4 linked regions of the Rattus norvegicus genome follow. The protein of the gene in region 4 interacts with the protein of the main gene of each other region in a pairwise test. Links are inferred from orthologs where the notes say so. Each region holds a gene or a part of one and is shown on either strand. Other genes may lie near its edges.

Region 1 (7,949 bases), on a different chromosome or scaffold from region 4:
CACAAAAAGATGTTTAAGACTCCATTGAACTGGACACAGTAGCATGCACCTCTAGTCCCAGCTCTAGGGAGGGTAGGCAGGAATAATTGTATGAGCTGGAGGTCAACCTGGGTTACATACATTTAGGCGAGCCCTACAGGGTAACACCATGGACAAATAATTACTACACTGAACTAGAGTAACTGATTATTACTCAATAGGCAATGTGTTTCTTCTAAATGAATGGACCTGGATAGCTTTAATTTTATCTCACAACAAGAAAGAAAATTTTCATGGATTGTATTTAAAGGGGCTGCACGAGGCAATTCACATGTCAGGATTGTTTAATTTGACAGTTACCTAAACTGTGTACCTAAAAGATGAGTCCTATTTAGCTTGTTTTATGGTCATATTGAACTTTTCTGAAATGATAATGCACCCGTGACAGTATGTTGATTTGTGATGAAACTTTAGTTCAAATCCACAACGGTCTACAGAAAAATTCCAAATTCAAACTCTGGAAATATTTTTTCACTCTCAGAACATCAACTGCCTTTTGAGTTGCAGGCAGGAATAAGGACAATCTTTTATACAGTAATGGAACTAGTAAAACCAGGCAAAATAACCTTCCATTGGCACTGATATACGATGGCATTAAATCCCATGAAGTTACTTATGAGTGTACCTTCAGTTATGTTAGCTATGTTTGAATTTTTGGAAGCTGTAAACCCCAAGAAAACTCTCCAGTCCGTTTAATGGTTAGTACATTAAATTTTATTAAAAGTTAATATTATAAATTTTATTTGGCAGGGTTAATGGAAAGAGATGTTATTTTTGTGGAAATTAGCTTGTTAGCATAGTATAACACTCTTAAAGATCTATGGAAATAATTATTTGTTAACAAATGCTTTTCTTCACAAGGAACCAGTATGGAGCAGAGGGGTTTTTACATTGTCTGTAACTAAAGTATTTCTTCAATTGGATACAAATATACTATGCATGTAAAAATACAAGAAAGTTTGTTTTCACAAATTTGAGCACTCTTCTGCCTACAGCCCCCCCTTTCTCCATGTGTAGTAAAATGCACTTGAGTGGCTGCATGCCTTCACAGCTTTGCACAGAGCATCTCCAGCATCATATCATCCATGCTGACGGCACCAATGATGGGCCTGAAAAAGAGTTCAGTGACAACATCGGTGTTGATGAATCTCAGCAGGAAAAGGGCACTATTCAGTTCAGCCGATCTGATCTGGTACTCTCTTTGCATCAGCCTGATGTGCTCAGTGAGGATCTGCTGAGTTCTCCACTGAAGACTCTCGATGTATTTCACGCACTGCAGGCCAGGCAGGTCTGGAAGTAGAAAAAAAAATCTATTTTAGACCATACTCATTTTTTTTATTTGGTCCCTTTCCAATTAAAAAGTACGCTAGCTTCTTGATTTAAAGGGCTTTCTGGGGGCAAGAGGGAGGTACTGAAATGAGTTCTAAGTTTTCAGAGGCAACACTTCTAAGGATAAAAACATGCACTAATTTCTAGCGGATATGCAGTAGGCATGTGCAAAGACACTGCAGTGTGCACAAACACTGACGCATTCAGTTTTATGTCAATAGACTATAATCGATGCCTCCCAGCACACCAGGGCATGTTCTGTGAAAATATAAAGAAATTGATGTTATTTCAAGAGAAATATACCTGTGAGAATTATACCATTTGATAATATACCAGGTTACAATTACATTGCCCTTCTTTCCTACAATTATGTGGACTGTCCAGTCTTTAGATTGTAAAGTTTACAGCCATAAACTCTGACTCGTGTGTTTAGGATTATTGAACTGCAGGCTGACATTACACTAGGGGCCATAGTGACTCTGATGCTAAAGATTACTGATGCTCCTCACTGGACCATGATTTCCAGATTGTAGGAAGTTCTAAAAATTATGATTCTAATGAATGTTTCAAAGGGTTCTTTTGGAGAAAAACACTGGCAGAAGAATCTCCCCCCCCTTTTTTTTAAAGCATGCTTTTAATAGCATTCAAAGGTTAAAAGATGAAAATATCACAGAGTGAAAGATCAGTCAGAAGCAACTTTGAAACAGATTTGGTTTAAATGATGACATCATCTTTCTTACTTCTTTTACAAAATTCAAGGAGAGTACTTAAAAATCATGTTTAAAAATAATCATGGCGAAAATAACGGTGACAGAAAATAAGTAGGAATCTACTATGAGCAAATATAGCTTATAAAGAAAACAACAAAATCAAGCAATGCTTCTTATCTCGATTATATTTCTAATTAAGACAGCATCAACATCCTCCACTCTATACCCTGGCAGTCAAGTTTGGATACCTATTTGATTGTGTGTATTGATAGTCTCTCTAGGTCTACATAGAGATGGCTCTTGTCGAAAGCTTTCTTAAGCCAGATACACATTACTTTTCACACCACAGCCTCTGGCCCTTTCCTTAAGGTACCTATTTTTAACTCTTGCATTAAAAATTCTTTCTAAGATACAAACTAAGAGTTTTCCTTATGGAGTTCTCATTCATACTGTTTTGGTTGGTCCTCATTTCCAACTCCTCCGAGCATCTCCCTGCCCCTCTCCCCTACTTGTTCCCTTCCACCCACACAAAATGTCCCTTCCATGTAAGGGCAAAAGAGAAAAGGACTCCACAGTTTACATATCTCCTTACTTTTTCTTATGCCCTTATGTTAAAACCCATTGATATGTTTATATATAATTTTAAAGCTCTGTGTCTTTGTCAACTGTAAGGCTTTAAACATAAAGACAAGAGAATGCAAAAGGGTAATCAGGAAAGAGACCACATGCTTTACAGACCTTGAATTGTACACAAATGTGGGTGCATTACTCTTTAAAAGCATACAATCTGGTGGGATAAACTCCTATGGAGAGAGTACTGGGGAAAAGAATAGAGGAAGAATAAGAGAGGGATGGAGAGAGACGGGAAGAGTGGTGAAGGGTGACAAAGGATGTGAAACAGGGTCAAGGCAAGTGGCGAACTACTGGAAATACAGACTTCTGAAGGCTGAGACCTTGGTCTCGACTTTGAATCTCAGCAGAGCAGGATTAATAGCATTGGCTGAAAGAGAAACTGTTTCTCAGATGACCTCAGATATCACCTGAGCCACTTGAGGATTCGGACTTGCAGGATCTGGGCTGGGCTGAACTAATGACTCTTAAGGGGAGGAGCTGGGGAAAACTTAACATACCCTATCCCCTGCAGCACACATCAGGAGCCCTTTAATTGGCAAATTTGGAAAATGGGGATGTAGGAAGAGCTGTGTGAAATGAGCAAAAGCTTTTTAAAAGTTATGTCACTGGATTTAAAGGACGGCTAAAGAGAGAAGAGTCAGTCATGTCCCATGAAGGCAGAAACTTCTGTAGCAGCAGATAATAAACGTAGAGAGCTTACTGTTCACACACACACACACACACACACACACACACACACACACACACCCCTACACCACCACCACCCCCAGTGCCAAGTTTCTGGCAGAAGCTCACCCACTTGACCACTTGACTGGCCATTCCAGATGTATGCATCAGCTTTTCAGAGTCAGTCACAAGTAACGTGGACTCCAAAATTCCTATAGCCACTGAAAACTCATAAATGCTTGCGTGTAGAGGTGGTGCTTTTCTGACCTGAAGAGACAGTGTACAAATTTGTCATGCTTACCTGGGTTAAAAAGCACGGTCCCCTTCAGATAGGCGTACTCTTTGGTGTCAATGTTCAGACTCCAGCACTTAAAAAAGAAACTCTTGATGGCCTGGACCGCAGCGACTGAGAGCACGTGCCCAGCCTCCGCAGACACCGTCTGTGGCTGCTCTGTGGCCTGGGGATCTGCGGGCTCTGGGCCTTCGGTCTCCTGCCGCCTGGTGGTGAGCATTTCGTGCATCAGGTTGGGCTCGGAAATCTCCATCATCTCGAAGTGCAGGTGATCTTGGGCCAACTCAAGCATGAGTAGGGGCGCCCAACAGCTCCGCACCAGCACCAGCTGCTGATCTAAGGGCAGGATCTGGAAGCAAGGCAAGTACTTGACAAAGCGCAGGGTCTTCAATAGGCCAGCCGACGCTGCCTCGCACACCACCTGTGGATCCTTGAGTGCAATCGGACGCTGCACACCAGAGGAGGCGTCCCACCAGGGGGCCCTCGGCTGCTCTTGCGGAGCTGCTGGTGTTTGATCTGCTCTCACGGGCGTGTCGGAGGCAACGCTGCTCTGCTGGGGCTGCTCTTCACCGCACACATAGCTACGGTACAGGAACGCCATGGCCTGTGTGCTCTGAAGCCCCTCCGGGCCACCCACACTCTGGGTACAGTAGGACAGCTGCCACCACTCGCCTCCGCGATGTGCCTCGGGTACTTCCCGAGACACGTGCGTTTGCTGGGCACTAGTGAGCAAGCTGTATAAGATGCTGCCCTGCCTCGGGTGCTCTTCTCCGCAGAAGCAGCAGCGGTACAGGAGCGAGGGGACCTGGCCAGCTGGCAGCCCCTCTCTGCCCACCAGGGGCTCTGCGCTGCTGCAGGCGCAGCCCCAGCAAGGAGCTCTGAATCGCGCCCTGGGCGCCTCGGTCGCCCCGCTAGGCTGCCTGGCGTTGGTGAGCATAGAGTAGAGGATGCCACCCTGGCGCGGGTGGTTCTCCCCACAAAAGCAGCAGCGGTACAGAAGGGACAAGGCTTGCCCGCCGGGCAGTCCCTCCCCACCCAGGACGGGCTGAGTACCGCAGGCGCAACCCCAGCACTGAGCCCCCAAGCGCACCTCTCGCTCTTCCCTAGACCCGTGCTTCTGCTTCGCGCTCATCAACAGATTGTAGAGGATGCTGCCCTGCCACGGGTGGTCCTCACCCGCCATGGCCTGAGGCTCCTGCAACCCGTTCTGCCCAGTGGCCGCCGCTTGGGACTTATTTATACTGAACGCTCACGCAAGCGCATCCGCCTCCTCCGCTAGGACAAGGGCGCAGAGGGGGACGCGCTGTTGCGCTTGAATGTGTGTGGCCATGACCTCGGAAGTTCAAAGGGGCAAACACTCCCTAGGATCTGGAAATCTAAGGGGAGCGTCTCAGCACAGGAACTGGCATACCGCCCCCCTTCTGTCTGGTTACTCTTCTGGTTACTCCTTCCCCTACCTGGGAAAGAGGAGAGCAGCGAACCTCAGGCAGGGAGTTAGGGCTCTGTTCCAACTCTTGCAGTTGGACTCCGACAGAGGACTCCGACCTCTAACTTATTTCCTTTTCTGGAGAAAGACGTGCTTAAACGGGAGAAATAGCCCATTTCTGTGACATCTTTATAAACTTTTATAGAATGATCACAATTTTTATAACTTGCGTTTTGTATAATGTTTGCTGAGTGTGTTCTCATTTCTTAAGATGTTGAAAAGTGTAGACCCCAGACACGTAGAGTCAGAATTACACCCGGAGGCAGAAATGCCTTCTTTTGAGCGCTAGCCAAAATATCTGAGTGTGAGTTGTAAAATAATTCACCCCCAGGTTACACATATGCACCTTACATTTGAAAAGCATTGGCAGAAGCAGGTAATAATACATCTTCAGTTTAATTCGAGCAATCACCCGCTTTGTCCTAGATGCTGGATCAAAGAGCTGGGGGCTGCAAACATTATGTACTTGTAGCTGACTCCTAGGAACAGACTAATCACAAGATTGTTACTGTGAGAACTTCTCATACTCTTGTAGAAGCAGGTCAGTGATAACTGTCCCTGTTCCCAACCATTGTAAGATACTAACAACAAATACAAGAATCAGAAAGCCTAAATGCTAGCATTTGTCACGGAGCTTCCCACCTTTAGTCTCACTCAAACAAGAGACCAGGGGGCTCTTTCTATTCAACTATGTGACTTTTGTACGACTAGCCAATTCTTATACCCACTAGCCCCATAACTTTGAGAGTACAAGCCGTTGCTCTTACAGAACAGGAAAGGGGACCGGAACACACTAATTGATATGGGACACCCCTCTCTGTCCCGTTCTCCCTCTTCCTCTTCTACCTCCGCTATCCAATTCTGTAGGAACTACTGAAGTGTAAGAAAATTGGGGATACCCTCAGTTTTTTTTTATCGTTTTATTGTTTTAAAAATTTTATACATACTTGCTGACAGTGTCCCTCCTACTTCCATAGGTTTGTTTATTTATTTATTTATTTATTTATTTATTTATTTATTTATTTATTTATTTTAATATTTGTCTTGTTTGGGTAGCCATAGCTGTTATGTGTTCAAGATTGCAATGGTTGTATAATGTCCAGAAAACAGAGTTTCATATTATTCTTCTCCTACATTCCCTTTGCATCTCTTATACGATGCACCCCAAGTCTTGGAGGGTTGATAATGATGTCTCATGTAGGGCAGAGTATTCAGCAGTTAATTTGTATTCTGCCTGTGCTGACCTCTATGGCACAAAGGTTTAATTCCTTACTGTGGCACCAGATGAATTCCATTTGAATCCTGGTTCTGTTATTTTGCAGTTCCATAACCTTGGGAAACATATTTCTTATTGTTGCTATAAAATTACAAATGTAGTGGTTTATGGCAACACAAATAATAGAAATTTATTATATGACAGTTTGAGAAGCCAGAAATCTGAACTCAAAGTACCATTCATGCCAGGTAGTTCTAAGGAAACATCCATTTCCTTGCCTCTTCTACCTTCTAGAAACTACCTGCATTCCTTGGCTCTTGGACACATTAGTCCAACTTCTGTTTCCATCTCCTCTGATTTTTTACGCAAGCTTGTGAATATGTTAGATCCACCTAGATAGTCCAGAATGATATCAACATCTCAAAATTCCAAATCTAATCATATCTGCAAAACTTTTTAAATAAATAAATCCTTCTGAGGACTGGGACCTGCCCATCCTTGAGAACACATTCTCCAAGCATTGGAAAGTTATTTAATGCATCTATTTCTCAGCTTTCGCTGTGTGGAAAAGTGAACAGTAATATCTGGGATATAGTTCTTATACACAAGTTAATGTGTTTAAAATAGACGAATATTAAACATAACAAGTTTTGTTTGTAGGACAAGGGATCAATTGAGGGCCAAGAAGTAATTCTGAAAAGCATTATAATAAAGCTGTCTCTCTTGCTGAAACTCAGCCCCATGCTCTGCTCAAGCATATGTTCTACTTATTCTGTATGTCTGCATTTCTAGATTCAAACTCCCAGACAGATTGTATGATCTTCAACAAGAATTCATAGAGGGCGTTAGCTCACTGTCCATTCCACTATTTGCCACTTTGAATTTTCAGCTACTGCATTCATTAGGTTTATTCTCCTTGCTTAACAATCTTTCTTCTTAGCCAAACTAGCAGTCTAGCTGAAAAACAGTCTACCAAAGTCCCCCACCTTAAGGTCCTATTGGTGGTTATAATTTTGTCTTCTTCTCAACTCCTGTTGATGTTTACCGAGTTATATGATAGTTATTAATCTTCCCTAATCTGTATCAAAGTCGCTTAGGTTCAAGGTATCTATCACTCTGTCCCTACCCATTGGCTCAATGTTCAACACACACAGTAGAGCCCCAAAAGTATATTTATTGATCAACTGTACCTTTTGAAAGAAAGGAGAAGATCATCATCTGAGAACATAGAGGGTAACAATTCCTACTCACTTATTGTGGTGCTGACTCTTGAGGGAAGCTAGCCTAGCAAGCTTTTTAGATTCATGGTTCCTGGTATAAATATTGTTACAATCCTTGTGACAAAGCAACAGGAGAACTGGATTAACAGTTAAAAGACCCAGACTTAAACCTGAGCTCATTTGTTCTAAAGTTATAGTAGGCATCAAAGTGTCCTTTAATTACTATTTTTAAAAGATTTATTTATTTATTTTATATATGTGAGTACGCTATTGCTGTCTTCAGAAACACCGTAAGAGGGCATCGGATCCCTATTACAAATGGTTGTGAGCCACCATGTTGTTGCTGGGAATTGAACTC
Region 2 (7,051 bases), on a different chromosome or scaffold from region 4:
TCCTCCCTCCTCCTCCTCCTTCTCCTCCCCCTCCTCCTCCTCCTTCTCCTCCGACTTTATGCTCCTAGATCCTGGAGAGATTTGACTATTTTCCTATTTGCTAATGCATTTAGTTACCAAGTTTCCCTCTTAGCCCTGCTTAAGCCTGCTTTTGAAGAAGTCCTTAGTGCTGAGCCGAGCTGTATGTCCTGACTCTCATCGTGGATGGCCTATCAAAGCCTCAGCTGCTGTGATTTCTGACTGGATTAGTGTTTTCTTCTTTTCCTGGAGAGAGAGTGATTTTGCCTAGGCTTTTTGGTTTGCTACTTTGACTGCTTTTCCAGATCTTGATATGGGAGGGCCTTGAGTTGCTGGAACCATCCTAACAGCGTATCACAGAGCAGTGGCTCAGACAGCCGGAATACACTGTGCCATGGGTCTGGAGGCTGAAAGTCTGAAATCAAGGTGTTGACCGGGCTCCTACTGCATGGTGTGAAGAAGAGTCTGGGGTCTGGCGTCCTTCCTAGTGGCCTGTGGTTTGCTGTCAATCTTTGGCATTCCTTGCTGAGAGAGAGAAACAGAACCTTGATCTCTCCCCTCAACCTCTCCTAACAGTCCCCCAGGGCGCCTCTGTGCCTCTAGGGCTGTGAACAGCAGACTACTGTTTACAAGTTATCTGAGCTGAGGTATTTTGCTACAGTGGCATAAATAGACTAAGACAGCAGGTCATCACACTTGAAAATACCACAAATTGACTGGATGAGTGAGAAGCTTAATTTTTTTTTTTAAAGAAGTATCTCTTGTCTGTGTGTGCATACAGGTTTGCACATGTCACAGCTGGCCTGGGGAGGTCAGAGGACGCCATCGTGGAGTCTGCTCGCTCCGTCCACCTTCTGTGGTTCGAGGAATTAAATTCTGGCTGTCAGACTTGTGCAGAAAATACTCTACCTGCTGAGCCATCTTGCCAGCCCCATCAATTATTTTATTACCTTTTTTCCTCTTCCTAAGAAAAAGCAACAAACTGGAAACTGAAAGCTGATATCAGGTGGAGTGCTGAAGGGGCAACTTAAAGCAAGTCTGCTCATGAATTGATAAGCTCGTCCATGAAGGCAGCTGGTCCTTAGGACACACTCTTCCCTGTCCTTCCTCCAAGGTCTAAGAATGCTGTATCCTAGAGACCTTGATTTCGGCCAACAAGGTTCATCTATGAGGACCCTTGTAGAGACTCAAGTAGTCCAGGGCTTAGGAAACGTGAATTCTAACCATTTCTTGGTTTTGGGGTGGTCTAGCCAGAGGCCTCATTGTAAAGAAACTCTTTCTTCCATCTTCTAAGGGAAACACAAGCTTTTTTCTCTATTTGCTTGGGATTTCAGCCTTCCCTTTTTTAAATGTATTTATTTACTTATATGAGTGCTCTATTTGCATGTGCCTGCTTGATATAAGAGGGCATCATAAGCCACCACATGGTTGCTGGGGATTTAGCTCAGGACCTTTGGAAGAGCAGCCAGTGCTCTTAAGTCCTGAGTCCTCTCTCCAGTCGTCGGAGTTTCCGTCTTTTCTATTTTTATGCTGCAGTGCAGTGTTGCTGTAGTTAAGTAATCCACTGTACTCTCCCTGGCAGCGTGCATGTTCCTTGTTACCCACCCCAGTGCTCTGGATTCTTAAAGAATCATACACACACACACACACACACACACACACACACACACACACACACACACACAGAGCCTTCTATTTTTAACACAAACAACTCAATGGCTGGTCTTCTCCCAAACTTCCACATTGCTAACACCTCTCCTATGGTATTCCTGGATTACTAAAATCTATATTCCATTTTTGCTACCTTGGATCTAGGCCTATAGCCTTCCTGGGCTCTGACTCTTACGTGTTGGCAGTCTCTTTGTCTCCCGGGCCTAACTTCTTAGGCCTGGAAGCCCCCCACCCCCACTTACCCACCACCAACCCCATGCATGGTGCCTTCCTCCTCCTCCGTTTCTTGCCTGGGAATCCTAAAAGTCCTGCCTCTGTCTACTGCCCAGCCATTGGCTGCCATCAACTTTTTTTACCAATCAAAGCCCAACTGGGGACAATGACCCTCAGCATCCGGCAGGCAGACATGTGAATTTCCGTGTAATTTCAGAAACCTAATTAACATAATACAAGTAGTAAAACAAATTCACCGCAGTGCAGGATCAACCTCAAGGCTTCAAGTGGGCTTTTATTTTCATTGTTCCCCTCCTAGAAACTAGTCCACAGCATAAGATACCACAAAGTCCTATGGTTTTCCTCACAAGGGGCTTTTGTGGGGACATCGGCAACATGGAATTCTTCTGATGGTTTGAATATATCTTTATCGATCATCTGCCTGCTTACAGGAAGTGCTGTTGTAATGAGAGCCAAGAGTCAGAAATCCAGGTGTTACCTTCTATCCTGCTTACTACAGGATACTTTTATTTTTTACTGGTTCTCAAATGTGTGCATTTGAATGTGTGCTTACCTGTGGGTACATGCAGAGGCCAGAGAGCGACGTCCTGCCCTGTCGCTCTTCACATTCCTTCCTTGAGACGGGCTCTCTCTTTGAAGCTGACGCTAGGTCGGCAGTCACAAGCCCCACTGGTTTCCCCATCTCTGCCCCCCATAGCGTGAGGCCTACAGTTATGTATGGCCACGTCCTGTCTCTTCACATGCTTGCCTGGATCTGAACTCAGGTCCTCATGATTGCACAGCAAGCCCTCCTTTTCACTGAGGCACCATGCCAACCCCTAAGATATTGGTTTTGCTGATATCAAATGCTTAAGTGTCAATGGTGCTGATATGTGGAGTGTATGTGGCGGGGGTCATATGTGCACATTATAGCATGTGTCTGTGTGTTTATTCCATCATTAAAGACAGGGGTATCAGGTCACCATCCTGTGTATCTGTTATGTGAATCTCATTGTTCATTTTCTTGATATGACTTCTGCAGACACTGGACACTTGCAAAGCAGTTGAATTTTGCATTATTTATTGTATTACAAACAGTGGTGATTACAAGGGGACAGAGGCAGCATGGTGCCTGGCACTTGTCAGTGGCAGCATGGCTCTCTGGCACAGTGACTTTTACTGTGCACACTGCACTTTCGAAGTCTTTGGTATTAGGACAGCGTACTACAAAAGAGAATGTAAAAGTGGCAAAGGCATATCCTATCCGTTTGCTTCGGAAACAACTCTTAGGTGTCTGCATCGCCCTTTCACCTTAGAAGCCCCTGCGTCTGTGCCCAGCCCAGTGCCTGCACCCAGCTTCCTCACATTTGGAGTTGAGCACTTGCCCCTCTTGCTGCCTGTTACACAGGAAATGGGGCCTTAGCATACATGATTAAAGTCAGAAGTAATTCCATTTTAATCCCAAACCATTCCTTAGACAGGAAAGAAACCCTTCGGGGCTAGTCATGCTTATCTATCCTAACAGAACAATTAGTGTGTGAAATGCAGAAACAGAAGCAGCTTGATGGAACAAAACCCTATTTTATAGTGGCCTCATAGAAGTGATTTACTCGTGGAGACTAAACTAGGTTGCTTGGTTCTATGGGTCCGCTTTGCAAGGGTTTCTCGGAAGCTTTTTTTTTCCTCATGGAGAGGAAGCAAACAGAAGAGGTGCACAACTCATATGTGTCTACTCTGTTTGAGTTTGGTGTATTTGTTAAGCGTGAACTCGGTGTGTCTCTGGAGCTCATCGATGTGTGTGTTGAGCAGCTTCTCAAGCTCCTTGGCCCGCTTCTCTTCTTCCATGAGGAAGTGCTGCGCAGCTAGGGAAGCCCGGAAGGATATATCTGGTGGAGACTGGAGAGAGGAGGGAGAGTGAGGCTGGACCGATGCAGAGGCTTTACAACCGTAGACATGCACCTCTCTGACAGTCAACTCTGCGGCCTAGTGAAACACTGGGTTTTGGGCAGAGCCCTCCTCCTCTTGTAACCTCGTCCTTGCTAATGAAACCCTCAAGGATTTGAGACATCTCAGCACCAACCCATTAAAGAGCCCTAGAGAGGAAACTGCAGTGACAGCTGCTGTTCCAGGGTGGATGTAAGTACCAGGGATCCTGAGCAGAACACACTTTGTTGACTCACAAGCCAGTAATCAGCTCAGTCTGAGGTGAAGATCAGGCAGATTGCATAAAGGTGGCTCATGCAGAAATGGAAATCAGGCTAGGCTGGGTGAGAGGGCTGAACGCCTAGGGGAGTTGCAGTGGTGTAGGGAGGAGGCTGGCTGAGGGTATCCTGGTGAGGTGGCTGCCTGCCTCTGTGTGTGTGTGTGTGTGTGTGTGTGTGTGTGTGTGTGTGTGTGTGTAGGGTGTGTAGTGGTGTGTAAGGGTGTGTGTGTAGGGTGTGTAGTGGTGTGTAAGGGTGTGTGTGTGTAGGGATGTGTAGGGTGTGTAGTGGTGTGTAAGGGTGTGTGTGTGTGTGTGTAGGGATGTGTAGGGTGTGTAGTGGTGTGTAAGGGTGTGTGTGTGTATAGGGATGTGTAGGGTGTGTAGTGGTGTGTAAGTGTGTGTGTAGGGATGTATAGGGTGTGTAGTGGTGTGTAAGGGTGTGTGTGTGTGTGTGTGTGTGTGTGTGTGTCTGTGTCTGTGTCTGTGTGTGTGTGTGTGTATGTATGGGACTGATCTTTGGTCCTCCCTTACAAGCCAGGCTTAGAGGAAGAAATCTGAGTGATGTCCATTATACCTGGCTGGGAGATGTGGGACATTTCACAGCTTGTGATGTGTTTGGTGTATATTTAAATAAGAGGGAAAATGTTATGGAATAAAAGACAATGTTAGTTTTATTAAAAAATAGAAAATTATTTTAAAATTATATTTTAAGTTCCCAGTTCTTTTATCTATCCTTCTTCCTCTTCACTAATCTTCGAGGCAGTGTTTTATGTAGCCCAGGCTTGCCATGTAGCAGAGGATGACCTTGAGTTCCTGGTCATCCTGGTTTTACCCTAATAGTGCTAGCTAGTTTGCAGGCATGCACGACTGCACCGGGCTGCTTTTACTATCCCTTGCTCTTGTTTGTTAGGAAGAAGGAAGCTTTATGGAAGTGAACCTGGTTAGAAGGCTTAGTTCAGCAATACATAAAAACTTGTGATCAGAGCAGGCGACGCAGAGTCCTGAACTTTTATCCAAGTGTTAAATCCCAACCTCTGGGTTGTACCTCTGCAATGGGTGCAGCCTCCCCACCCAAATCTGAACAAACAGCCTGGAACAAGCAGGGTCTGCAAACACCCTGAGCAGGGCAAACACCCTGAGCAGGGCAAACGCACTCTGTCCAGGGCAAAGACCATCCCTGTGGAATAACATCAGGTTAGTGAAGCCCATGAATCCAAGGCTTGACAATATGCACATTCCAGAGAGTGAAACAGAGCCCCACAAAGACCCAGGGGCTTGGCATGTTTTTAGGTTGGGTGGGGCAGACAGGGATATACATGTTGAGTACAAGTTGGCATGCACCAAAGTTCTGTGTTATTGAACACAAAACAACATGCTGCTATCACTGGGCAGCACAGAAGTCTGAACAAAGGGGGTTCCATAGTGGGTTCAGGATAGGTTAGAAATGTTGCCCCTGAGGAGAGGTGAGTGGTAAATCCTGTTCTAGAAAAATCTTCATTGGACAGAATGCCTTGTACATTTTATAAGCCTCAGGGGGAAGGCCGTGTTGCAGAAATTTAAGACCAGAACGTGGTTGTGCCCCCTGTAGCAGAAGCCTGCACGCTCTGCAAAGGTTACTCCCTCCCTTGCTGCTGAGCCCAGGAGGACACAGAGCGCCTTGCATGTCCCATCTTAAGTCCTTGGCAACCACACAGGAGATTACATATGGATGCAATAGCAGAGTGGCTCTCAAACTGAGAGCTCCTTAGGAAGTGTCTGTTGATTCTCAGGTCACCTGAGCCCAGATGTGCCACCCGTGAAAAACACAAAGCAGTCTCCCTGTGCCTTCTAGACCTCACAGGGTCCCTCACGCTGTGGAGAGGGAGGGTTTTCTCTGCACTGAAAGTGGCCTACATTCCTGGCTAACCCCTCCTGTGGGATGATGTCACAGGTGAGGCGGGTACAAGATAGAAGGAGGCCTGTCATTGGACGAGAAGGAAGGATGGGCGGGAGAAAAGTTTGAGGGAAGAGGAGGAGACTGGGATGGAAAGGCTGGGAGAATGGAGAAGGGAGGGGAAGGCACCGAGAGAACATGGAGGCGGATGTTAAGATTCCACGCTGTACCTTCACAGGTTGTTATGAATGTTCTTTTTTTTTTCTTTTTTTCGGAGCTGGGGACCGAACCCAGGACCTTGCCCTTGCTAGGCAAGCGCTCACCACTGAGCTAAATCCCCACCCCTGTTATGAATGTTCTTAAGGGATGGATGTGTACAGGGCTCTGTATGTTTCGGTGGGCAATTATATCTCATCAATTGGATCAGAGGTTACTGTGTTGTGTGTTCTTCCTTGTGGCGATTTGACTTTGGGAGAGTGTGTGGCGGCAGAGATGCTGGGCCGCCACGGAGTTGGGATGTGTGTTTCTGGCAAGATATCTACCAGATATCATGGGGCACTGCGGTGCTGGATCGAGTGGGGGTAAAAGACAGCCATTTTTATAATTTTACAACAACACTCTCCAACCTCAGAGGATTAGGAGTTACTTTGTTGCTCTGTGAATGACCTACATGCTACTCTATGTTAAAACCTATCTGGGTTTGCTGCCTCATTCCTGTCACTCGAACACTTGAGAACCTGACTTGGGAGGACTGCTTCAGTTTAAAGTGAGCCTGTGCTAAAAGCTGAATTCTCGTCTCAGCTAGAGTGAGATCCTGTCTCTAAAAACTAAAAACAAACAAAAACCTAAAAGGTATAGCCATTGATTCATGATGGGGCATCAGATCCTCCTTCTGTTTGAGATGGGTGTGGTCAAATGATCTGTAGTCTTAGGTCAGAAATGGTGCTGCACCTCTAATCCCAGCACGCTAGAGGCAGAGGCAAGTGGATCTCTCAGATGGGCCTGGTCTAGATCGAGAGTCGTGAGAGGACTGTATGAGACCCTGCCTCAAAACAGCTACAACCAAAACAAAA
Region 3 (7,915 bases), on a different chromosome or scaffold from region 4:
TTCTTCCTTTCTTCCTTTCTTCCTTTCTTTCTTTCTTTCTTTCTTTCTTTTTTTGGCAGGCAGTATAGATTCTGTGTTTCTAAACTGAAGCAAGCCGTCAGCTTAGCAGGCCTGCAGACATTCAAACTGACCCCAAATTTGCAACCAAGTTTAAAGAAGAAAGAACAAACTAAGTTTAAGTGGCCAGCTCTGCAAGTCAGTAGACTAGAGATTTGTATAGATGTGCCCCACAGGGTGACTGTGCCAACCCCCCTGGCCCTCCAGAGTCTAAACTATTAATAGACTCTGGTGTCACTTGCCTTCCGTCTTTCTACTTCTATTTAGATTAGGCAAGAGAATATTCACAAAACAAGCACACACGCTCACGTGCGCGCACACACACACCTTTCTCTCTCTCTGTATGTGTGTGTTGGGGCCTGTATGGGACACACGTGCCGGTTGAGGCCGGAAGTTGACATGGACATCCTCCTCCTTGGCTCTTTATTTCTTCATTTATTGCATGTGCATGTGTATGCTGTGATATGTCGTGGATTTCAGAGGAGAAGTTGTAGGAGTCTGTTCTCTCCTCCTACTTCGTAGGTCCCAGAACTCCAGTTGGTAGGGGACTCTAGGGGAGTCTCTAGGGGAGAGAGGCTGGAGTGGCTTGACCTGCTAATGGAGCTCACCAGACTCACCATTTTTGTGATTGTTTTGGACTAACAATCACACTAAGCCTGGCTGGCCCTTAACTCAGAGATTCACCTGCTTCCACCTCCCAAGGGCTGGAGTGAAGAGAATCATTACTGTGTCCTTCATTTTGTTTTTTGAGATGTTCCCTAACTGAATTTGGGCTATAGATTATGCACCTCCCACAGCAGTTACCAACTTCTGTGAGCCCAGAAGTTCTGAACTCAGATTCTCAAATATATCACAGCAAACACCTGACCACTGACTCCAGCCCCTGCCTCTTTTTAATTAATGTATAATTAAAAGCCTTCTGTGGACAAACCTTCAAGCTGTACCTTCTTAGCAGTGATAGGTTCTAATTCCCTTGCAATGAGCAGGTTGTTCATGTCTGGAGAAAACATGGACAAGCTTCCCCAAATCTCAGCTCCCCTGTCTCACAAATTGGAAAGGGCTTTTCCTCTTTTTGGATCCAGATAAGGCTTCATTTACTTGTGTACTTATGGTGTGGCAGAGGGTCAAGCCCCAAAGCAGGCACTAGATAAAGTTTGGCAAAATGAATGTTTTAAATTAAATATGCACTAGCTATGGTGGTGGATGCCTTTAGTCCCAGGACTAGGGAGGAAGAGGCAGCCAGATCTCTAAGCCCGACTTCAAGACTGGCCAAGGCTCCACGGTGAAACCCGTCTTAAAAACAAACAAAAAAATGCTGGTGCAGTTATTAGCTCTTTGTCCTCGAGCTGAACTGAGATTTGCATCCTCAGGAGGCTTTGTGTCAGCATTTTCCTATCTATTTTGTTTTGTTATTTGAGACAGGGTTTCTCTGTGTAGCCCTGGTTGACCGGAGATGCATTCGGCTGACCTGGGATGCATTCTGGAGAGCAGGCTGCCCTTGAACTCAAGAGGGTAGAGATAGCGGCCATCTGTAAGGCCTTACCGAGGATGTGTTGCCCTCTTTTGGCCTCCCAGGGCACTGCAAGCATACGACATACAAACAAAACAGTCACACAAACAAAAGGGAATCAGGCACGAAATGGGTGATCAGATATCCTGAAGAAGGAATTATTTTTCACATACAGTTCAGAGTTGGGAGTTCTTGTGGGCTGATAGCTATTAATGAGCTAGAACAGTGCTAAGACATGGTGAAAGCCAGAACCATGCTCTCCCAAGGCAGCCCGTGACCTTGTTGGAGAGAGCAGATTCAGGCAGATGGCAGGACATGGGCTTCATGGCACTCAAAACTTCTGGCAATGTTGGGAACAATGTCCTCTAGGTCAAACACCTTTTAGGTACACAGAAGACACAAACATCGTAGGGTACATGAACTCTAAGGCTCTTGAATCTCACTGTAGCTTCTCGCTTAGAAGTGTATATTGCCTCAATATCTTGGAAATCAGAATAGCAGCTTGCCCTAAAAATTGCCAAGAGAATGAAATGAGACGATGTAAGTCTAGTACAAGATAAGGGGCAGAGAAAGCACTCATGATGCACGTGGGCAGGCTTGCAAAATTCGGGGGGCCAGCTTAATTCTGGATGGCAATGACTGTATAGATGTATATGTGTATATATATATTCACGTGTGTGTGTGCGTGTGTGTGTATGTGATTTTGCATCACAATTTGGAGCCAATGAAATGCTTTTGTTTCATTGAGATGTGGGGTTTGCTATAAAGTCCAAACTGATCTCAAAATTGAGAGGCTGGGATTACAGGCCTGAATGGGGTAAGACACCTGGCACATTTGCCCCCCAAAATTATTCATAGAAATTAGCGTTCACCTTTGAATGTTGACATTTCATATATACTTTTGCTTTTTTTTTAAAAAAGCCGATATCTCTCCTTTTCCTGAACCTTGCTGTCATTCTTGAGCTGTATCTTTCTTTTCTCTAGTTTTTCCATTTTCTGAACAAGACCAAAAAAATGTGTAAGGGACCAGCCAGTGCTGTGTATAGAAAAAGCAGGCCCTGATGGTAGTGACTGTCTCAGGTACTGAAGAAAAGTGAAATTAGATCAGAGGGGACGCGAAAAAGGAAGATGGTCATGTGCAGAATGCTTGCCGGGCTCTGGGTGGGGTGACCATGACCCATGGCAGCTTCTGGGGCGGCCCAGTGACTGCAGGACAGAAAGGGGCAGGAACAAACACAGGGCGCTGCGCAGGGGTCTGGTCAAGGAAGTAAAACACCGGCTCGGCGTCCACAGAGGCCAACAGAAGAGCAGCTGCCCTCGCCAGCCCGCGGGGGAGGACCCGCAGCGCGGCTCCCGAAGCTGGGCAGTTATTCCCGACATGCTCCTCCCGCAGGATTTCAAACCACGACAACAGCCATCCCTCACTTCCTCCGGCCCGCCCCAGCAACAGGCGGCGGCCGGCATCTCATTGGCTGCGGCACGCGCTGCTGCGTCCTCATTGGCTGCACAGTCTCCGATCCTCTTCCGCGCTTGCAGCAGCCTCCATTTTGTCGGTAAAGGCAGTAGGAGGTTGGTCCAAGAAGAAGTTGTGATCTGGGACTCGCTCGTGGGCTGTTTGGTCCGTGCATCGTTTCTCCCTGGAGAGGGAAGGAGGCTTGGAGGTCGAGAGAGAGCCGCCGCCGCCGCCCGAACTCGAAGTCGGTGAGTGTGGCGGGGTCGGCCATGTTGGCCACAGCGGGCACCATTGTTGGGCCTGGCTGAAGAGGAAGCAAGGCCGGGCGGGCGCGACTTCCCGGGAGCTGAGCCGCCGGCGGGCTGAGGCGGCGAGCTTGCAGGTTCGCTGTGTGGGCGACTGGGAATGCGGACCGTCCGACTTAATAAAATTGGAGGCCTTCTTAGCCTTGTGCGGGTGTTTGCTAATTTGACTAATTAGAACATTGAGAGAAACCATTCACTTTAGAGAGAGACGTGATGTTTAAAAAAAAAATGTAAGCTTATTATGGCTTCTGAAAAATTATGGTACCACTACCGGAGTCAAGCGAAAGCACGATGCACATTGCTGGGAAAAGAACCTTGGTGTGGAAATAGCAGTGTGGGTTGAAATGAAAGCGTTAAATATGGATGGAACTTTAAAAGCACGGTCCCTAGTTTCCTGGTGTGGCCACAGAAGCGAACGCTTCCTTAGTTTTACTTTAAAACAAGAGGAGTTGCTAAGTCTTCCCAAAAGTTCCCAAGAGTTGAAAGCTGACAATGAGGTCAAAGAAAGTCGTGGTTTCTCTCATACAATCATTGAAGTTTTGAGGAAGCGGCAACAGCCATTTCTAAAGACTGTCTACGCGATCACTTTGTGGGGTTGTTTTCAAGTAATTATCTTTCCTTTTCTAGCTACGACTTCTCTCAAACTTGTGTGCTGAGGAGACTCGATGTGGGCCTCAGCTCCTAGGCTGAAATCAGCAGATTGGCTCATGAAAACTTGTGTATTGAGACAAAGGAAAGGATCTAGCAGAAAGCAACGTCTCTTATTCTGGGCTTGGCAGCAAGGAAGAGGCCAAGTAGTGGAAATTCTGCAATCTGAAAAGCAGACTGAAAGGTATAATAATGACTCGCATCATAGTGGGGCCACTTATTTTACAATGGAAGCAATTCTAAACTATTAAGGTCAGCGGCCATGCACGGTGCTGGGGCACTATTACGTGCCTGTAACTCCAGTACTCCTCTTAAGTTTGGGGCAAGACTGCTTCAAGTCGGAGGCCAGTCTGGTACAGGAGGCCTCTCCAGAAACGGGTTCATTTGGGTGTGTGAGGTTATCAGGTTGTACAAAGAATGAATAGGTTGCTTCAATTGTTTTTCTTATTTTGATTTCACAAACTGGTTTTTGGCTCAGGACTTTAGTCTCTTGAGGTAGATGGTTTTGCAGGGGAGCCTGTCTAATCCTACCTTGTCATATTTTCAACTGGAGCTACGGAAACGTCAAAGGGGACATGTGGAATTTAACTGATGTTTACATGTATTTACAGGTGACAAAGAAGCTGAAGATGGGTGGTGGAGAGAGGTATAACATTCCAGACCCTCAATCTAGAAATGCTAGCAAGAACCAACAACAGCACAATAGACAGAAGACCAAGGATCAGAATTCCCAGATGAAGATCGTTCATAAGAAAAAGGAAAGAGGACATGGGTACAATCCATCGGCAGTGCAAAATGGGGGAAAAACCAAGAGCCTTTCCAACAACTCCAACTGGAATGCTAGCTTATCAAGTCCTAGCTTGCTTTTTAAGTCTCAAGCTAGTCAGAACTATGCTGGAGCCAAATTTAGTGAACCACCATCACCAAGTGTTCTCCCCAAGCCACCAAGCCACTGGGTTCATGTTTCCTTGAACCCTTCAGATAAGGAAACGATGACATTTCAACTTAAAACCTTACTTAAAGTACAGGTATAAAATTAGATTAAGTACTGATTTTAAATTTTTTGATGTTTACACATAGCCAAAAGGTTTGACATTTTGTGAAAAACTAGTAATTTACAAGTATAAGCATTCACTTATGTGCTGTATATACACTATACTGTTATAGTGTCAATGCAATTTAAACAATTTAAGTGACTAATCAATTCTACTTGGTAGTATTGCTAACTAAATTCAAGTTTAGATTTGAGAAACAGTAAATAACCTTAGCTTTTGTATTGATTGATACTAATATTCATGGGTTGGTACACAATTTCTGAAGAAATCAGGCAGCAAGCAGTTTCATGGTCTAGGGTCACCCAAACTCTCTTGGGCATTTTTTAGGAAATGGCTGAAGTTCCGCTGTGGTCAGCGTGTAAAGGGCAGGCAGAGCTCCTTAAATGCAGTGGGCAGGCATTTACCTAGAGATGTATGTACCAAACCCTTTCCAAAAACAGAGAATGCTGGATAACCTTTTCTATACAACAGCATCCCACAAAGCTGCTAAGGGATCCAGCCTCACCTATACAAAGCTTGCTTGAAATAGGGAGTTGTGTTCATGACATTTAAGCCATGTATATACATGTAATAATAAGCTTGTAACATAATGTTTTCTTGGCCTTTATTCTACAAAATAAGACTATTTTTAGTATGAATTTGCTGAATGTATGACCATGAACTGTTTTGAAAAATCTTATGGCCTAATTTTAAAGGTCTCCAGTTTTTAAAAGGTTGCCCTTATGCTTAAAGTGCCAGTGAATCAATGTAAGTGATATGCTAGTGAACTACACAAAGTCAATCTGTTGTATTAGGTTTTTTATAGCTGAAAAGATTTAAGCTATATGAGATTTTAATAAACCCAAAGACTCATTTTGACTTTATCAATCCTAGGTAACCCGATTAATGTGCAACCCTTCCATTTATGTAAAAGTTTCTTATATAATTAGACCAAATAGCAAATTAGTTTTCTCAGTTAAGTTCAGAGCAGATAGAAGTCCAAATCAAACACTTGAGTATCCATCCTAAGGGAAAAGTTAAAAAAATTATGATCTGACTTTGAAAAGTGAAATTGATAAATAAACTTTCTCCCCAGTATATTGTTTTATGTAAGTGATTTATAGCTGTCTACTTGGGATGACTGTGATGCTGCTACTTTGCTGTTTCTTTTAAGACAGGTTTCTCTAGCTTGAATGTCAGATTGACAGTGTGCACAGCCCTGCCCAACTATAATTCCTTTGTGCTAATAGGGAAAAACTAATGCAAACTTATGTAGGAACATATGAGTTACACAGCCTCGTTTAGAGCAAGGGCTTTAGAGTCCTCGTCTCAAAACCAAAGTGTATTTTAGCTTTTGCATACTTGCTTTCTAGTGGCTAGACTTCCCACTCAGGGGCAACTTAAACAATCCCACCTTGCAGACTCTGCTTTCTCATGCAACCTGCAGAGAGAATGTATTCTCTCAAAGCTCCAGTGTAACTCTGTGATAACAGCCAATGTAAAGTTCTTTTTTTTTTTTCCTTTGTGCCTCTGCTTATACATTTTTATGTATGCATTAGCATGCAGCATATGCCTGAATTTCTAGTTTGGGACTAAGATGCTTACTGACTTTATTAGACACTAAAGCATAGCTCAAAGAATAAAAAAAGCAGCCATGACTGGCCGCAGGGTGGCACACCTTTAACCCCAGCCTGGTCTACAAAGCAAGTTCCAGGACAACCAGGGCTATTGACATATTTACAGAGAAACCCTGCCTCCCATGGGAGTGTGGGAAGTACTCAGGCTGAATTAGCCTTCAAATTAATACAGTTGCATGAGCTTCTAGACGAATATTCCTGCCAAAGCTGTATAACGTATAGCAGAACCCACTAGAGAGTAGGCTTCTATGTATTTTGGTGATAGTGTGCTACATGATAGACTGAAGTTACCTTAGATCTATTAAGCATGAGGATTTCAGATGGTTCTAAACTGCACAGCTTCCCATGCTGTCCCCCATAGGCAATGACTCTTAAGGAATACATCTCTAAAACCTCAGAAACAAATGTCTAGTTGGGTAGTTATACCTGTAAGGTACAACAAAGTCTACAGAAAAAGCAAGATTTTTTTGAAAAGTGCCTAGACCAGTTTATTTTACTCTCCAACATTCAAAGAAATGTGATCTGCAAAAACAAAACCTGGATTACAAAGACCTTTTACTTCTTTACAAACTACTTTCTAAAAATTTACATGCCTCAAGTTTTTATTCCCCCCCCACTGCACACACAAAAAAAAAACACCCCCCAACAACAAAAAACCAAGAACTACAGTTTTAACACAGGGTGAATGGTGAACCAGCTTTACAAATACACAAACATTAATAACTAACAGGATTGGAGGGACAGGAAAACACTCAAGAGTCTTCTGCAACAATGGATTGGGTATCTTGATGAAGCTAGCTAACAGTTGAAGACAAGTCATTTAACCTCTGATTCCTGGCTATTTTTGAAGTTAGTTTTTAATCTCAATATTTGTTTAAAAAAAAAAAAAGGTAATGAAGTACAGTGAAGATCCTGAAGCTTGGAAGCCAGCTCAAGAGTGCTGGAGGTCCAACAGCCTATAATCTTGGAATACACTAAAGTTAGAAGGTATGTATGTAAAAACTCCTGTCCACATGGTGGGTAGTATTCCACAGAAAACAGCTTTCTTATTTGAAAAACAGGATAAGTATTCATCTCCTGGGAGTAATTTTTAAGGTTAAGTAGGAGTATCTGGAAAACACACAACTTGGCACAGCAAATGCTGAGTAATATTGACAGCCTTTCATATACATGTAGACCACAATAGACAAGACTAAAACAATTTTCCTTAACTCAACTGATACCCCAAACCACGGGGACCCTTTCTAACTTACTACACTTAAAACTCAAGA
Region 4 (7,152 bases):
GTATTAGTGCTGAGCAAGCTATACCTCTTATATACCTTAGAAACCAAAGTATTATGACCAACAAGGGTCTGAATAATTTGACTTTACTTCTATTCCACAAAAAGCATCAGATGTATGGTAGGATGCCATTGGTAAATCAACATCAATATGATTCAGGGTAACATTCCCCAACCTCCACACCTAGGTGTCTTTGTGAACCCTAGAGTTCCAGGCTTGCACCAGAGACTCTCATTGGGTTATCTTACAAGGAGGTTTGCATAGCTAAAACATTTCTTGGTGATGCTGACAGTTCTGACACAGTCATCGCACTCTGAGGACCACTGGTATATTAACACAGCCTAGGGCACTGATTTGTCACCTTAACTCTACATTAAAGATGACCTAGGAAGCTACCAAAAATTCCTCCTTTCCTGGCCATACCCAATACCAATTCTACAGATACTAGGGGCTCAAGCCCTGGAAGAAATATTTAAAAATATTGTTTCCTGGAAATTCCCAATAATCAGAAAAGCTTGAGAAGTATGGATATATAAGAAGTTAGATTCTGTGTATAAGACTGGCTATTGAACATATGTAAATTAGGGGCTATAGGTGTTGCCCAATGGCAGAGCACATACAAAAGACCTTGAGTTCAATTCCAACATAGACATGTCTATCATCTATGTGTCTGTCTCCCTGCCTATATCTGTCTGTCTGGTCTCGATAGATAGATAGATAGATAGATAGATAGATAGATAGATAGATAGATAGATAGATAGATAGATAGATAGAGGTAGAGATAGATATAGATAGATAAAATATATAGACATATAAATTTATCTTTATGTGTGTGTGCGCGTGCGTGCGTGTGTGTATGTGTGTGTGTGTGTGTGTGTGTGTGTGTGTGTGTGTGTGTGTATGCAGCATGAGCAGAATAACTAGTGTGCTTCTGCCCAAATAGATATGGGTTCTATATTTGTATATGACTGGTTTAAGCTGGGTTCTATATTTGTATATGACTGGTTTAAGCTGGGTTCTATAGTTGTATATGATTGGTTTAAGCTGGGTTCTATAGTTGTATATGACTGGTTTAAGCTGGGTTCTATAGTTGTATATGACTGGTTTAAGCTGGGTTCTATAGTTGTATATGACTGGTTTAAGCTGGGTTCTATAGTTGTATATGACTGGTTTAAGCTGGGTTCTATAGTTGTATATGACTGGTTTAAGCTGGGTTCTATAGTTGTATATGACTGGTTTAAGCTGGGTTCTATAGTTGTATATGACTGGTTTAAGCTGGGTTCTATATTTGTATATGACTGGTTTATAGGAGAAGATAAAATTTCAATCATTCAACATTTTGCACAGGAAGTAATCACGTTATTTCTAAATCTACAAATTTGTTAAGGTGTGGCTATGCATCCCTGGTATTTGTTTGGGGTATGTTTTGTACTTAAATGCAATTTCCTTGGTACAATTTTTGCAGAAGTTCATTCAGAAACATTGGAAACATATACCCAGATACAAGGAAAAGATGTTGAGTTCATGATAAATATATCGAGAGTGGTGTTTCTTAAATGGCCACCCCTGGACTGCCAGGATCAACATCCTTGGCTGTTTTTGCAGGATGTAAGTTCTCAGGGACCACCACAGGTCTAATGAACCAGAAATTCTGGAGAAAGGAAACAGTAATCCACGTGTTGGTGAGATTGCCAAGGGGCTTTAAAACATGAGCAGGTTAGAGAAACATTAGTTTAAATTTTATCACTTCCTAACATCTGTGAGAAATGTATGGACGGTGAACCTACTACACGCTGCTCAGCTGTTCTTCAGACCTACTATGCTCTCTGAAATGTCCTCATCATCATTGACTACAAAGAGCTCTGTAGTGGAACAGGAAGGCACAGGGTGAGCAGCTGGGGAGGGATTATTATATGCATCCTCCATATATTTATGTTTTCTACACAAAATAGAATTATTAGTATGCATGATATGAAATAGGAGAATGAGTCCCAGAGAAAAGAAATAGAGTAGAGTGAGGTGGCACTCACCTTGAATTGTCCTCTTGAAGAAAGCCTTGCAGGCTTCACATGAGGCAACCCCATAGTGATACCCAGAGGCGATGTCGCCACACACTAAGCACAGTCTCTTGGGCATGGAGTTGAGCATATATTCACACTTGGTCTGGGGATCCTCTACGATGGTGCTGGAGCAGTCATCATACAGTTTCCGGACAGGACCGCTGCCTCCCAGGATAGGAGCAGAGGGGTAGAGAGGTGGCGAGTCCAGTCCGTTCTGATGGCCATTCATGGTTGAACTGTAACTCCCACTGGCGTCGGAAGATCCACCAGGGCTGTGGTGGTTGACGCTGTCCGTCAGGGAGGCTGGGCTGGAGGGTTCCGTCTTGATGAAGGACGAACAGCTGGAATCAATGTGTCGATCTTTGTTTGACATTCTGCAGAGAAGCCTGAAAGTGAGGGGGAAACAGAGAGAGAGAGAAGAGAGAGAGACTGTCAAACTGAGTCCCAACAATGTAGACGCAAAGACATGGCAGAGAGGAAGGAGAGCAGAATATTGGTATGTTAAAGGCATTGCTGTTTAAGAGAGCTTCCTAAGGGCTGGGACTACCCATCATTCACTCTCCAGTCAATATCTCTTGTTCTACAAGAAGGTAATCAGCATAAGGGCATGGCAGGGTTACATCAAAGCTCCCAGACAGGCCATAAACAAAGGCTCTAAAGGGTCCAGTTGCTTTTATTTTATCTTTCTCTTGAACCACTGTCAGTGCTACCCTGGCTTTCCGGATCCTGAATTTATCAACAAAGCAGTGGTGATTTGCAAAGTCCTTGTCTTCCCTCAAATTGCATTTATCTCCACTCTATATTCCACTCCACATCATGACGCTGTGTTCATTTTACAATAAAAAGGATCCAATGTTTCTTTTCCAGCCAGAGCAGGTATTGTCAGGCTCCATAAGGATGTCCTGTGAGAACCAGCTCACAAAGCATAGTGGGAGATTGATATAATGGATTAATGTATAATCTGTGTGTGTGTGCATCTGTGTGTGTGTGTGTGTGTGTGTGTGTGTGTGTGTGTACACTCGCCCACGTGCATGCAAGAGAGAGAGAAAGACAGAGACAGAGAGACAGAGACAGGGAGAGGGAGAGTGGAAGGAAAGGGAGATGGAGAGGGAGAGGGAGAGAGGTGTTGAAAGATGACTCAGTAATTCCACCTAGACTGCACGGTACCTGTGAGTCAGGAAATCGGAGACATTCTGAGCTGTAGCATCGGAAAGACTCTCCTCATTTTAGAAAAATTAGATTTATGATGGGCCTCTCCTTGACTCCCCCTTAAGAGCATAAAAACCCCATAACCTTATGCAAGGCTCTGAGACGAGGTACCTAATCTGACAAACTATTTCTCTAACCTAGAAGAACCACATCATCCCCCCTCTCTCTCCATTGGCCCCATAAGTGGGTAGACTTCTATACAGGTAATTAGACGTAAAGACATAATTGGTCCTCTTGGCTTTCTGCCTCACTACGGTGTAAAGCTCCTCTTAGCCAAGCCTCTAAGAACCCTAGATGCTACTATGAAAAGGTGACAGTTGAGAAGGGGACTCAGATAATTGCTTCCCAGTGGAAAGTTGATTTATCGGGAGCCCACTGTGCATGATGGTCATTCTCTGGAATTTGGGGGAGTAGTCACAGTATAAGCGAATGAATGCAATTATCACTTTCACTATAAATCAAATGATGCCTTATCACCGAACAAATTTCATGCTCTCCTCCGCGTCTCCCTCCCCCATTGATGGTACTATGGGATTTCCTATCAGAAATCTCTGCGTGGCTCTTCCAAGTGGACACTTTCAAAAACAAAGCGCAAGGGCAGGTAGGACTTTACCTCTACCTCAAGTATCTTTCCCTGTCCAGCACTTCTCTTCTTCCTGAACTCAAGCCAATGGCCATGTGTGGAAAGAGGGAGAAAGCCACCCAAAGACCTCCTTGCCTTCACCTATCCACTGGTACTGTCCCTTCCCCAAAAGCTAGGGAAAGGAAAAAAGTGATCCCCCTTGCCAGTCCTGGCTGCGGCATCCTCTCCCCCTGCGTCTGCTTGTCCCTGACATTGCTAATGAGCACTGTAATTAATAGACCTTTCTCCTCGTCCCCATGCCTGCACTGTGGGCTAGGCGTTCTCCTCAAGTCAGTGTTGGAAAGAAAGCAGGTCGGCTTGACTTACAGCAGCCCTGCAACCCGACTTCCTTTTAATTTAAAACTATTACATTGGCAGTTCACTTATTACTGGACTGCCTTTCCATACACTATGATCTTGGGCTACTGGTTAGAAGTTATTGGTTACTAAACCATAGATGGTCTCCCTCTCCTTCTTTTCTCAAGCTTTAACAATTAACTCTTCCACTGCCTGCCTGACTCCCAACCTAGTATTTTCCTTTTTTCTGGTGCCCCTGTCCAGTACCCCAGTGGGACACTGATTGAACTTCCTGGTCACAAAACTTACCACCTTTCTTCAGGCATCCCTCTCCCTTTCTCTATAAACTTAGTAATCAGTCATCTCAATACTTGTTCCCTGTGGACTTTTTCTCCCCCTGGGCTTCTAAACTTTGTAGATGATGAGATTAAGGAACCAGGCCAGAAACCAACAGGGTAGCAATTTGCTAAGTCACCATTGTGTACATGTCAATGACACATTGTTCAGACCTATCCATGAAAAATGAGGACAGTTTAGCGAGCTGTCTTTTTGAAAGTCTCGGTCCATACTTTATAGTAACCTGGATGCTAACAGGGAGTTGAGGGGTGTTGCTGCCAAGGAGGTCCCCCGGAATGGAGACAGGATCTTCTAAATGGGGTCTGGTCACTCTAGCCACCAGTGAGAGTGAATAAACTGGGTGTGTGCTGTAGGTTATGTGCGGTTCTTTTCCAACATAAACTGTACCCTTAATTAATGACGTCTGTCTACTGGAAGTATGAAGAAGGTTGTCACTCATGTCACTCATCAGCTGTTTTGAAGTATAATGAAGATTACATAACCAGGAACTGGAAAAGTGGCGTCTGAACTCAAGTCTCACTCCAAGCCTTGGAGCAAAACTGTATGGAAGCCAACAGAGCTGTGAATACTGCTTGCTTATGGTCTATAACAAGACTGAGGGCTAGAGAGATGGCTCCGTTGTTAGGGGCATGTACTGCTCTTGCAGAAGTACATGAGTTTGGTTCCCACAACCCTCAACTCATGACTGCGTGCCTCTCTGCCTCCAAGGGATCCTCCAGGTCTTCTAGCCTCATGTGCATACAACCTCCTACCATATCCACGTAATTATTTTTAGTTTAAAAGTCTTTAAACCATACGTACCTGGGCCTGAGGACACATGCTTGTCACCCTATGTGCTAGCAAGATTGAGAAGAGGGGACCACAAGCTTAAGGCTTGTCTTGCCTACAAACTGTGAATTTAAGGCCAGTATATGTAAACTACGATGCAATCTCAGAACAGAAAATACAAGGCCTAGAAAGACAATGCTGTCTGAATTCAATCCCAGAATCCACATTAAAAAATAAGTCCTGGGCATGCACTTGTAATCTCAGGACTGGGGAGACAAAAACAGGGGATGCTTCGGCCTGGACAGCTAGAAGCCTAGTCCACCGGCCCGATTCCATGCTAGTGAGAGACTCTGTATCAAAACGATAGACAGACAGACAGACATATGCATAAATACATACATACATGTTATAGATGACAGACAAATACATTCATGCATACATACATGTGATAAATGATAAATAGAAAATGGATAGATGATAGATAGATATATACATACATACATACATACATACTGTGATAGATGATAGACAGACAAACAGATGGATAGATGCCAGATAGATAGGCAGACAGACAGATGCCATATATATATATATATATATATATATATATATATATATATATATGTGTGTGTGTGTGTGTGTTGATAGTTACATATATACATATAGATAAATAGGTAGAGGATAGATAGACAGATACCATATAGATAGATAAGATAGATAGATACATAGATACATTATATAGATACATAACAAACCTACAGAAAGAAAGACAGGTAGATAGACAGAGTATAGACAGATGCAGATAGATTAGACAGACAGACAGACAGACAGAACAGGAGGACAAGGAAGTGAAGGGAAAAGGGAGAAAGTAATAGAGTGGATGACACCTAAGAATGAACAAGTAAGGCTGTCTTCTGACATCAACACACAGGATCACATATATGGGCATCTGTACACACATGCATACACACACACACACACACAAATGCTCTCTCACAGACAAATATACAAAACACACACACACACACACACAAGGTTGAGGGTGTTAGCTCAGGAACAGTGTATTTGCATGAGGCCATGAGTTCAACCCGAGTACAACAGAAAGCATAAATAAAGATAGCTAAGCCAGCAGCAGTGGAGAGGGTGGACGCAGAGACTGTCCGTCAACTTTGGCTTCTCAGATGACTCCTCTACTGGTCCCTGGTAAACAGAGAGGGGGCAGAACGTCCCCGCACTGGCCGCTGCTCCAGCTTGTTGCATGAAGCCCAAACAGAATCCCCTAAAGCACACAGTTGTCTCCTAACCACTGTGAGCTCATTGCACCGAACATTTCCTAGATGCCATTACGTTATAACCTAAAATCGCAGCCAGTCTTAATTCCCAGCTCTCGGTCTCTGAAATTCTACAGCTCTATTATTCAAGCCTGAAATATTCACAACTATCTATAAATTCAATTGTCAGCTGGTGGGTTTTATTCTAGACTTCACTTCAATCTAAAATTAGAGGCACTAAAATTCACATTAACTCTAAGAGGAGCGTACTGAATAAGACTTTATTTCAAAGGAACACCTTTTTGTCAGAAAGAGCCGTTTTCAAGATGATGGCTTTATCTGTAGCCAAAGTGAATAAGCCCAGCGTCTCACATTGTGCTGTCAATGCAGAAATTCCAGGTCACATTGGATTAATAATAAAAAAAAAAAGGTCTAAATTTAGTTAAGAATTATGAATAGAAATAACATGTGTCAAAGTGTGTAGGAAATATTTATTTTAAAGCCTCAATACAGTTTACATTTATTTTATTATTTTAGGTGAAAAGATGGGACAAGGAAGAGGGAGGAACAG

Evidence for each region.
Region 1: the proteins of Esrrg (region 4) and Nr0b1 interact in binary tests that used the Homo sapiens proteins (3 or more experiments, as listed by UniProt). The link is inferred for Rattus norvegicus from reciprocal best matches to the Homo sapiens genes ESRRG and NR0B1.
Region 2: the proteins of Esrrg (region 4) and Deup1 interact in binary tests that used the Homo sapiens proteins (3 or more experiments, as listed by UniProt). The two-hybrid records come from large-scale screens. The link is inferred for Rattus norvegicus from reciprocal best matches to the Homo sapiens genes ESRRG and DEUP1.
Region 3: the proteins of Esrrg (region 4) and Pnrc2 interact in binary tests that used the Homo sapiens proteins (3 or more experiments, as listed by UniProt). The link is inferred for Rattus norvegicus from reciprocal best matches to the Homo sapiens genes ESRRG and PNRC2.

Annotation. Positions count from the first base shown.
Region 1 is NC_086039.1:54,704,568-54,712,516, reverse strand, and holds Nr0b1 (nuclear receptor subfamily 0 group B member 1), read right to left. Parts: upstream 4,860-7,949; 5' UTR 4,853-4,859; coding exon 3,679-4,852; intron 1,330-3,678; coding exon 1,085-1,329; 3' UTR 731-1,084; downstream 1-730. UniProt on the Homo sapiens protein: Nuclear receptor that lacks a DNA-binding domain and acts as a corepressor that inhibits the transcriptional activity of other nuclear receptors through heterodimeric interactions.
Region 2 is NC_086026.1:20,658,721-20,665,771, forward strand, and holds the end of Deup1 (deuterosome assembly protein 1), read right to left. Parts: intron 3,799-7,051; coding exon 3,622-3,798; 3' UTR 2,967-3,621; downstream 1-2,966. UniProt on the Homo sapiens protein: Key structural component of the deuterosome, a structure that promotes de novo centriole amplification in multiciliated cells.
Region 3 is NC_086023.1:153,385,712-153,393,626, reverse strand, and holds Pnrc2 (proline-rich nuclear receptor coactivator 2), read left to right. Parts: upstream 1-3,120; 5' UTR 3,121-3,268; intron 3,269-3,952; 5' UTR 3,953-4,157; intron 4,158-4,584; 5' UTR 4,585-4,602; coding exon 4,603-5,007; 3' UTR 5,008-6,105; downstream 6,106-7,915. UniProt on the Homo sapiens protein: Involved in nonsense-mediated mRNA decay (NMD) by acting as a bridge between the mRNA decapping complex and the NMD machinery. May act by targeting the NMD machinery to the P-body and recruiting the decapping machinery to aberrant mRNAs.
Region 4 is NC_086031.1:102,135,015-102,142,166, reverse strand, and holds part of Esrrg (estrogen-related receptor gamma), read right to left. Parts: intron 2,444-7,152; coding exon 2,028-2,443; intron 1-2,027. UniProt on the Homo sapiens protein: Orphan receptor that acts as a transcription activator in the absence of bound ligand. Binds specifically to an estrogen response element and activates reporter genes controlled by estrogen response elements.